2 linked regions of the Arabidopsis thaliana genome follow. The protein of the gene in region 1 interacts with the protein of each later gene in a pairwise test. Each region holds a gene or a part of one and is shown in the gene's direction. Other genes may lie near its edges. The genes, in order: AT1G50670 and HYL1.

Region 1 (4,969 bases):
CGAAACATGGAAATTCTTTAATTTCAATACTTTCCATAATTTTCTCTCATAGCTAAATTATAGAAACTACAACAAATAGAAAATGGAAAATGATAACTTGATAAATACTCAAGCACCGCAAGAAACAACAAGATTAAGAAACACAATTTGCTCCCACGATTTGCTCTCTTTATATAGTTCTCTCTCTGTTCCTCATATTTCTTCATCGTTTTGTTTCGCTTCTCTTTCTCTGTCTCTCGTATCTTTCTACTACTCTGTTTCTTGAATTCTAATGAACAACATCGACGACGCAAAGACGGAGACTTCAGTGTCTTCAGGTTCAAGCGACTCTTTCTTGCCTCTCAAGAAACGCATGAGACTTGATGACGAACCAGAAAACGCCCTAGTGGTTTCGTCTTCACCAAAGACGGTTGTGGCTTCTGGCAATGTCAAGTACAAAGGAGTCGTTCAGCAACAGAACGGTCATTGGGGTGCCCAGATTTACGCAGACCACAAAAGGATTTGGCTTGGAACTTTCAAATCCGCTGATGAAGCCGCCACGGCTTACGATAGTGCATCTATCAAACTCCGAAGCTTTGACGCTAACTCGCACCGGAACTTCCCTTGGTCTACAATCACTCTCAACGAACCAGACTTTCAAAATTGCTACACAACAGAGACTGTGTTGAACATGATCAGAGACGGTTCGTACCAACACAAATTCAGAGATTTTCTCAGAATCAGATCTCAGATTGTTGCGAGTATCAACATCGGGGGACCAAAACAAGCCCGAGGAGAAGTGAATCAAGAATCAGACAAGTGTTTTTCTTGCACACAGCTTTTTCAGAAGGAATTGACACCGAGCGATGTAGGGAAACTAAATAGGCTTGTGATACCTAAAAAGTATGCAGTGAAGTATATGCCTTTCATAAGCGCTGATCAAAGCGAGAAAGAAGAGGGTGAAATAGTAGGATCTGTGGAAGATGTGGAGGTTGTGTTTTACGACAGAGCAATGAGACAATGGAAGTTTAGGTATTGTTACTGGAAAAGTAGCCAGAGCTTTGTCTTCACCAGAGGATGGAATAGTTTCGTGAAGGAGAAGAATCTCAAGGAGAAGGATGTTATTGCCTTCTACACTTGCGATGTCCCGAACAATGTGAAGACATTAGAAGGTCAAAGAAAGAACTTCTTGATGATCGATGTTCATTGCTTTTCAGACAACGGTTCCGTGGTAGCTGAGGAAGTAAGTATGACGGTTCATGACAGTTCAGTGCAAGTAAAGAAAACAGAAAACTTGGTTAGCTCCATGTTAGAAGATAAAGAAACCAAATCAGAGGAGAACAAAGGAGGGTTTATGCTGTTTGGTGTAAGGATCGAATGTCCTTAGGGAATTTTTCTTTAAAAGTTTCTTACTTCAACTAGAACTTGTTTTACTTGTACCTCATGAATTTTTATTAACAAAATTGTTTTACTTAACTAGAGATTGGTTTACTAAATGATTTTCTCAATGCTTCGTTACTGGTTTAGATTTCGATAACCATTATCAAAGTGAGCTACTCGCAATGCATAACCACCAAGATTGCTAGTTTACTCATGACAAGCTCAGAAGCTTTTGGCCTTATAAGAAGAAAGACTTAACCAAAAAATCTTATCAATAGTATTTGTTAACTGGTCAATTAGTTTTTATCAATTTCTCAAGAATAAAAGAGTAAAAAATGAAAAGAAAAAAAAAATGTCACAAATAAAACTTACTAAAGATTATTTATGAACTTAATAAATTTGAATAATTTTATAAAAATAAATGTAAAATCAACTGAAAATTTATTTTAGAGAAATTCTATTTAACAACATCCAACAAAAAGTAAAAAAGATTATAATATTTTTCTTTGTTCCAACGCAAAATTACATTTTTTTGTTTTTGAACATAATTACGATTTTTATTTAGTTCTTTTTTTTTGAATTCCAAAAATCAGATCTCTTGCCCAACGGTGAGTTCTTCTTATCTAACTTTCCTTTTCATTCACATTGGGTTTTGGTGGATCCAATTTTCATCTTCCCTTTTAGGTTGGAATTTTGAGTTTTATCTTCCCATTTCTGGATTTTGTTTCTCTCTAGTCTATTCCTTCAAAACCAAGAACCCAACTTTGTTTTATATTCAAAAGTTGTTTGCTTTCATCGCGTTTGGTGTTCATCTTCATCTGGGTATTCTCAAGAATCAATCTTTATACTTTACTTTTGCAAAAAATTTATCCTTTATAGTTCTTGTTGTTTTGATGATGATGCTTTTGCTTATGGATCTGATTTGGTTCCAATCGATTCTTAGAATTAGATCGGATCAACACTCTTCATCATCTTTTTAAGATTGGGATTAGGACAAATTCTTGATTAATTGAGTTTTTTTTTTTGGAATGCAAATAGTTTGAGATTATAATAACATGGAAGGAATCATTGTGAGAAGAGTTATACCATCTGATAACAGTTGTCTCTTCAATGCAATCGGGTAATAATAAGCTTTTTTTTTAAGTCAAGAAGAATGTTTTTGAGGCTTGTGTTTCTTTATCTTTGAGGTTTCTCTTCTACAGTTATGTCATGGACAAGGACAAAAACAAAGCTCCTGAGCTCAGACAGGTTTGTTCATATCTTTTAGCATTCTTTGATCTGTTGAAGTTACTTCAGCTTCATTCAACGTTTAGCTTCTTTTACTTCGTAGCTTATCAGCTTCATAAGGTATTTAAGCTTAGAAGTTACTGATACCGTTCTATATAGTCCATTTTAATATAGCGAATAGAAGGAATGTTACTACATGAATTGAGTATTTCACGAGTATAATAGAAACAATTCTGAGACATTTAGCTTGGTGCTATCTTGATAAGGTGATAGCAGCAGCAGTTGCAAGCAACAAGGAGAAATATAATGAAGCATTTCTAGGGAAGCTCAATGAAGAATATTGTGCTTGGATTCTCAATCCAGACAAGTGGGGAGGTATATTTTCCTAGATTGTAAAACATGATTCTCCATAATTGATTAAGTTATAGGTATCAGGCGAGATATGTTGGTAAATGTCTCTTGTTCATGATTTTTCATGGCTAATAATGTTTGTACGGTTCATCATTTTGAATTGATAGTGTCTTTCCGTTTTCTTTTGCTTTGTGTAGGTGCGATTGAGCTTTCGATATTAGCAGATTATTATGGTCGAGAAATTGCAGCTTACGACATTCAAACTAGTCGATGTGACTTGTATGGACAGGTAATCATCACATTTCCAACATACAAATTCTGAAGAAAAAACCTTGGAATGTATTAGACAGGACTTTTCCCTTTTGTAGACGAGAAACTACGACGAAAGAGTTATGCTGATCTATGACGGTCTTCATTACGATGCTCTTGCTGTAAGTTGATATATCCTCCATTGAAAAAATAACTTGGTAATCAAAGGTCCAAAACTGGTGGCTTAATTATAATTTCATTGCTGCAATATTCCAGCTGTCTCCATTTGAAGGGGCCGAGGAAGATTTTGATATGACTATATATCCAGTTGGTAAAGATAGATCCATAGGATCAATTGAAGGGCTTGCTTTGAATCTAGTGAAGGACCAACAAAGGTAATATATATAAGTGTCAACCATAGTTTTGTTGAATGTGGCTGAAGGAAACAAGAATAAGCCTGTGATTTGGTTTATCTGTTTCAGGAAAAGGAGTTACACAGATACTGCAAACTTCACTCTACGTTGCGGTGTTTGCCAAATTGGAGTTATTGGACAAAAGGTCATTGCTTTGTCTCCTTAATTCTTCATTTGATATTATTTCATAGATCAGACAGAGCTTGAATTTTGAACTTGAAACAGGAAGCTGTGGAACATGCTCAAGCAACTGGTCATGTTAATTTTCAAGAATACAAATAAGAGAATGATTGATTTGATTCTTTTATACAGTTCCAAGAAACAAGAAAGTAAACCACGAAAATGATGTGCTTAATTTTAATTTTATGTTGTCAACAATACAAATTCAGTCTGTTGTGCAATTATCTTGTGTTGTGTTCTTTACTCTAGTGATGACCTCTTTATGAGGAGGATCATTGTTGTCTCACCAATAATGCCATGAAAAAAATGAACTTCTTTGGATTCATTTGCTCTGTGTTAAAACCAAAAATTTCCAATATGTGGATAGTATTGCTTTTATTTATTTTCCACAATTTGCTATGTTGTTTCTTACATCGTTACAAGATTGTCTAACCAAAACAGGAACTGTAATATCAATAATCCAAATTGGAGCATTACATAACAAAACGATTTGGTGAGTTTGCCGGAAACTAGTAACTATATTATATAAATTGATGAACAAGTCTCTAACATTAGCGTCTCTTACTCTACTAAAGGTTTTTCTTCCATAATGAGATAATGATATTAGAGTACACATTGCTTAATTGCTAATGACCAATGACATAAATCTAAACCCCGATCTAAGCTGCTTGCTGGTCCCGACTGCTTTCCCGGAACATTATTACATCATACAGCATCTGAAACCGGTGAAAGATTAGAGAACCGCACGCAGTGTCCCGGGTATTAAGATCTGGTTCAGCTGTGACCAAAAACGGTTTGGCTCCTAAATCCTCTGTTTAAGGACATGCTTTAACTGAACCTTTTGGCTTTCGATTCGTGCTTCAATGAGTTTTGACTTCAAACTACTCTTCTGTGCACCTCTAGGCCATTCTATGCAACCTTTCATTCCTCCTCGGTTTACATGAGGATGATTTGCAGATTCCGGTGAAGAGTTCCATTGTCCAACCAAATCCATCATCGGGCTAAATCCGCCTTTGCTCGAGACTCTGTCTGGTGAAACCATTCCCGCGCTTGACTTTCTCCCATTTGAAACCCTTCCTCCATTCATACCTTCCATTGATATTACCTTGTAGTTGCTATCTCTATCTCCATTGCTTGCACCTGTTGATCTCCAAAGCTTTGCTATTGATGAAACCTTTTTGGATGACCGT
Region 2 (5,133 bases), about 16 Mb from region 1:
AATCGTCGAGTATATCAGACTCACTTAGAACATATGAAGCAGCCATCACCTGGGAATACAAGAGAAACGAAAACTTAATGATATTTGGATAAAATGGGAACTCTGGATAAGCACAGATTGATATGCAGAACAAGTAACCAACACACTAATCATTAAGAAAACAGCAAGGTGTTATCCTGAATAGAGCCTAGGGACTTCAGATTCTGAAATTCTGTCAAGGGAATGAAATCTATGATTCCGTTCTTACTTTGACATGTGCAATAGCCTCCACTGATGCTTCATGGCTGACTGCAGGAGAAGCTTCCAATTCGCACTCCATGTCACTATCGTCGTCCTGCACAGGCAACTTTCGTTTAAAAAATCTGTAAACTACACCAGCGAGAGACACTCATCGATCCCTAATGCTACCAAGAAGTTTTAGTATCCACTGCCACATAGAACATAAACTAGTATTTCATCACACTCACTTCTAGATGATACTGATAACACAAAGTAGTAGTGAGTTTTTATTGAAGAAAACTAACTAACTCTACAACATAAACTTGAGTCTTTTACAATTCATCAAAAGTGGAAAGAGGAGAGACAGAATAAGTACCAGAGGTAGAGCATCATCTTCCACAGGGAGGAGAGGATGCCGATAAGAAAGATGACGCCATAGCAACTGGTACTCTCTAGCATTAGTAATTCCGGTAGTGGTCTTCTTCACCAACGCATTCCAGTCCATCTTGGTTTCGGAACAATAAGATATCTCCTGTAGCATTCTCAGTATCGTCTCCATATCATATCTGCGTCAATAAATCAAAAACCCCGGCCACACTGACTAAACCCAAATCCACTAACGTTTTCGGAAAGAGAAAACAAAAAAAGGAGATATTTTTACCTCAGCAAAAGAGTGGCGATGTCGCCTTCAGTAATGATTCTCTTCCTGCGATTGCTACTAGTATTATTATTAGCAACCATCTTCGTCGTATTTATTGCAACAATTCTGCAGAGAACAGGACAAAGGAATCAAATTTCACCAAAACCCGAGGGAGTTATAGACGAAACGAAACGACAGAGACTTACGCACGAGGGAATGCCCAAGAAAACCGGTGAAGACGATCGGAGAAGAAGATGGTCACGACTGTCGAAGAGCGTGGAGAGTACTCGCGTGGCAGAGGTGTTTCGGAAGAGAGAAGAAAAAAAAGGAACGAAAAGGAAGGTGGTAAATTCGACTATTATTATTCTACGCTTATCAGAAGCGAAAAGTATGGGCTCAAATATTTTTCTTTTCTGGTAAAGGGATATAGGATCAAGTGGGCTCAAATATGGGCTCAAATATTTTTCTTTTCTGTTAAGGGACATAGGCTCAAGTGGGCTCAAATATGGGCTCAAATTGTTTTTATTTTTTATTAAACGGTTATTATCATTATTGATGTTTACTTGGAGAACAAATTAATTATTTGTGAATACAAAAACTGTGTGAATATAACAAAGGGATTACTAGTGAATAAAGTTAGCCATAAAAAGGTTAATCAATTGTGGATATATACATTAGTTAACTACATATGAAATACGAAATTAGGCTATATGTAATTAGTTTTTTAATTAAATTAAATATTTCAAAGATAAAAACATTTTGCTTTCATATAATATTCACAAGTAAATTATATTTATGGAAAATTTGACCAAAAAGGTAAATTTATGGAATATAATATAATTTATAAAGGTTTGAAATTAAATTCAATATTAACATTTGTAACATAACAATTAAGAACCACCTTCTTTCGTTTGCCCTTGTGAAAAAAAAACAAAAATAAAAATCAGTAAAGAGGAGGAAGTCGAGGGGAGAGGGTTTTTGGTGAAGAAGAATCATCTCTCTCTCTCTGCTTCTTCGCAGCAGCAGCACGTTTCTTTCTTGCTCTTCGCCGTGCCCTACTAACCTATTATTCGTCTCTTCAGCTACATTCTGCTCGTGAAAATGACCTCCACTGATGTTTCCTCTGGTGAATTACTTCTTCTTCTTCTTCTTCTTCTTCACCATCATGTCTGCATTATCTCTAATTCAACATTCATGGGTTGTTTTTTCCGGGTTTTAATTTTGAAACCAGATCATGCTTTTTCCCCTTTCTTCTGTTCTTTACTCACTTCTTTCTTCTTGGAAATTGGATTGCAGTGTTTTGATTAGTTAGAATTTACAAGTGTATCTGTCCCTTGTGGGTTTAAGCGTAGATCTCTCTGGCAATTGGCAAGTTTACTCTTTTGAGATGATGATTTATTGACTCAATTTGTTAGGGAACATAGAAGCTTGGTTTAAAACTGTCTCTCCCCTTTTGGATAAGTATAGTTTCTTTGTGAAAGTCGTCAGCTTTATTCAGAACTCGTTCACTGCTGTTCCCTGTTGTCGTTTTGAGTTTATTTGCAATTTATGCTGTAGTGGATAGCATCATCACTGTTTCTGTTTTATCTTTTGCCTCATTTTGAAGTTTTTTTCCTGCTCAGGTGTTTCCAATTGCTATGTTTTCAAAAGTCGGTTGCAGGAGTATGCTCAGAAGTACAAGCTCCCAACGCCTGTTTATGAGATCGTTAAAGAAGGCCCTTCACACAAATCTTTATTTCAATCGACTGTGATACTGGATGGTGTCAGATATAATTCTTTGCCTGGATTCTTCAATCGTAAGGCTGCAGAGCAATCAGCTGCCGAGGTTGCTCTCCGGGAATTAGCAAAATCCAGTGAGCTAAGCCAATGTGTTTCACAACCTGTTGTAAGCACCTCATCTTTCTTATTTCGCTCGTGATTATTGTTAAGTTCACTGCAAAACTATTGAACCTAGCCTAGGGGTTTAGCAGCGAATTGTAGCTTTGCCATCTCAGCAGTAGTCCTTATGCTTAGTTTGAGCGTTGAAGGTTTAAAGGGAAGCTCATGGTTAGTTTCAGAGTTGAAGGTTTAAAGGGGAGCTGTGAGAATACGTTAGGGGGCATTCTGTATTTGTCTAGGCTCTTGGTTGGACAATGATCGAGATTCAAGAGTTTAAAGAATCCACTCATTAATAAAGTGTCTTCTGTCTTATCGGATTTATGTGTATTGCCAACTTCTAGAGGGAAGATTCTTAGGCTGTTTCTGTAAGTTATTGCTCTTGTCTAACTTTGAATGGCTTATTAATGCAGCACGAAACGGGATTATGCAAGAACCTACTTCAAGAATACGCTCAAAAGATGAATTACGCGATTCCATTGTATCAGTGCCAGAAGGTCGAAACTCTTGGGAGAGTTACACAATTCACATGTACTGTAGAGATTGGAGGCATAAAGTACACAGGAGCTGCAACAAGAACTAAAAAAGATGCTGAGATTAGCGCTGGGAGAACTGCTCTTTTAGCGATCCAGTCAGACACTAAAAACAACCTTGCCAACTACAACACTCAGCTTACTGTACTTCCTTGTGAGAAGAAGACAATACAGGCAGCTATCCCGCTTAAAGAAACCGTCAAGACTCTTAAAGCCAGGAAGGCTCAGTTCAAGAAGAAAGCTCAGAAAGGAAAACGCACAGTAGCTAAAAATCCTGAAGATATTATCATCCCTCCTCAACCTACTGATCATTGTCAAAACGATCAGTCAGAGAAAATTGAGACAACGCCAAATCTGGAACCTTCTTCATGCATGAACGGGTTAAAGGAGGCAGCATTTGGGAGTGTGGAGACAGAGAAAATTGAGACAACGCCAAATCTGGAACCTCCTTCATGCATGAACGGGTTAAAGGAGGCAGCATTTGGGAGTGTGGAGACAGAGAAAATTGAGACAACGCCAAATCTGGAACCTCCTTCATGCATGAACGGGTTAAAGGAGGCAGCATTTGGGAGTGTGGAGACAGAGAAAATTGAGACAACGCCAAATCTGGAACCTTCTTCATGCATGAACGGGTTAAAGGAGGCAGCATTTGGGAGTGTGGAGACAGAGAAAATTGAGACAACGCCAAATCTGGAACCTCCTTCATGCATGAACGGGTTAAAGGAGGCAGCATTTGGGAGTGTGGAGACAGAGAAAATTGAGACAACGCCAAATCTGGAATCTTCTTCATGCATGAGCGGGTTAAAGGAGGCAGCATTTGGGAGTGTGGAGACAGAAGCAAGCCACGCATAACAGTGTCAAGATGGAGTCTTGTGAGTTTGTCATAGTTACTATATGGTTACGTAGCCATTTTGTGATTCCTATCTAGTCTAGTAGTAATTCACAGATTGAAGAGAAGTAATATTTGAGCGGAAAATCAAAACTAATATGATTGGTACAATTTGGTGGTCGATTGAGTCATTCGAATAAAGTAATGTGGGGTTGCAAAACAGAAGCTTCATATCTACATATAAATGAAAATTACTCTCAAACTTCATTATTTGTGGGCCGGTTATAAAAACACAAACCCAACAGAAGGTCCATTACCCTCACTCTTCATTATTTGTGGGCTGGTTCTAAAAAACAAAAGTCCAATAGAAGGTTCATTACCCTCACTCTTGATTATTTGTGGGCTGGTTCTAAAAAACAGAAGCCCAACTTGCTGACCCAACAGGTCCGTTTACGAAACCCTAATCTCAAAACAGAGATATAAATACACTCTGCCTTCCTCATTTCATTTCTTCGGCGATCTAGGGTTTTAGTTGTCGCACGAGGAGGAAAAATGCCAGCGGGTCATGGAGTTCGGGCGAGAACGAGGGATCTGTTCGCGAGGCCATTCAGGAAGAAGGGTTACATTCCACTCTCGACTTACCTGAGAACCTTCAAGGTCGGCGATTACGTCGATGTGAAGGTGAATGGTGCGATCCACAAGGGTATGCCTCACAAGTTCTACCACGGTCGTACTGGTCGTATCTGGAACGTCACTAAACGCGCCGTCGGTGTTGAAGTCAACAAACAGGTCTGATGAACTCTCCTATCTCTTCAGCTTTTGTGTCATTGAATTAGGATTTGAGCTTCTTAGTGTGCTATTTGGATTGTTGATCTATTGCTTTGATGTAGAAATGTGTGATTGAGTATAGGTTTGTGGAATGTAAATCTTCTTCTATGCTACAATTGAGCTCAGATTTTGAGTTTTAGCTCAAAGATGTTATCTTCTATTATGCAGTAGCGTGGTTCGTGATCCTGTTTCAGATTTGAAAGTTGATT

What was found.
Region 2: the proteins of AT1G50670 (region 1) and HYL1 interact in binary tests that used the Arabidopsis thaliana proteins (3 or more experiments, as listed by UniProt).

Annotation. Positions count from the first base shown.
Region 1 is NC_003070.9:18,773,998-18,778,966, reverse strand, and holds AT1G50670 (OTU-like cysteine protease family protein), read left to right. Parts: upstream 1-1,954; 5' UTR 1,955-2,181; intron 2,182-2,397; 5' UTR 2,398-2,414; coding exon 2,415-2,479; intron 2,480-2,561; coding exon 2,562-2,607; intron 2,608-2,852; coding exon 2,853-2,961; intron 2,962-3,134; coding exon 3,135-3,226; intron 3,227-3,305; coding exon 3,306-3,368; intron 3,369-3,462; coding exon 3,463-3,581; intron 3,582-3,668; coding exon 3,669-3,744; intron 3,745-3,824; coding exon 3,825-3,881; 3' UTR 3,882-4,162; downstream 4,163-4,969. Other genes in the region: AT1G50680 (AP2/B3 transcription factor family protein), read left to right, coding at 353-1,366; AT1G50660 (actin cytoskeleton-regulatory complex pan-like protein), read right to left, coding at 4,582-4,969. UniProt on the Arabidopsis thaliana protein: Hydrolase that can remove conjugated ubiquitin from proteins in vitro and may therefore play an important regulatory role at the level of protein turnover by preventing degradation.
Region 2 is NC_003070.9:3,136,946-3,142,078, reverse strand, and holds HYL1 (dsRNA-binding domain-like superfamily protein), read left to right. Parts: upstream 1-1,725; 5' UTR 1,726-1,960; coding exon 1,961-1,985; intron 1,986-2,481; coding exon 2,482-2,744; intron 2,745-3,147; coding exon 3,148-4,119; 3' UTR 4,120-4,430; downstream 4,431-5,133. Other genes in the region: AT1G09710 (Homeodomain-like superfamily protein), read right to left, coding at 1-49, 248-334, 596-785, 881-960; AT1G09690 (Translation protein SH3-like family protein), read left to right, coding at 4,649-4,885. UniProt on the Arabidopsis thaliana protein: Double-stranded RNA-binding protein involved in RNA-mediated post-transcriptional gene silencing (PTGS).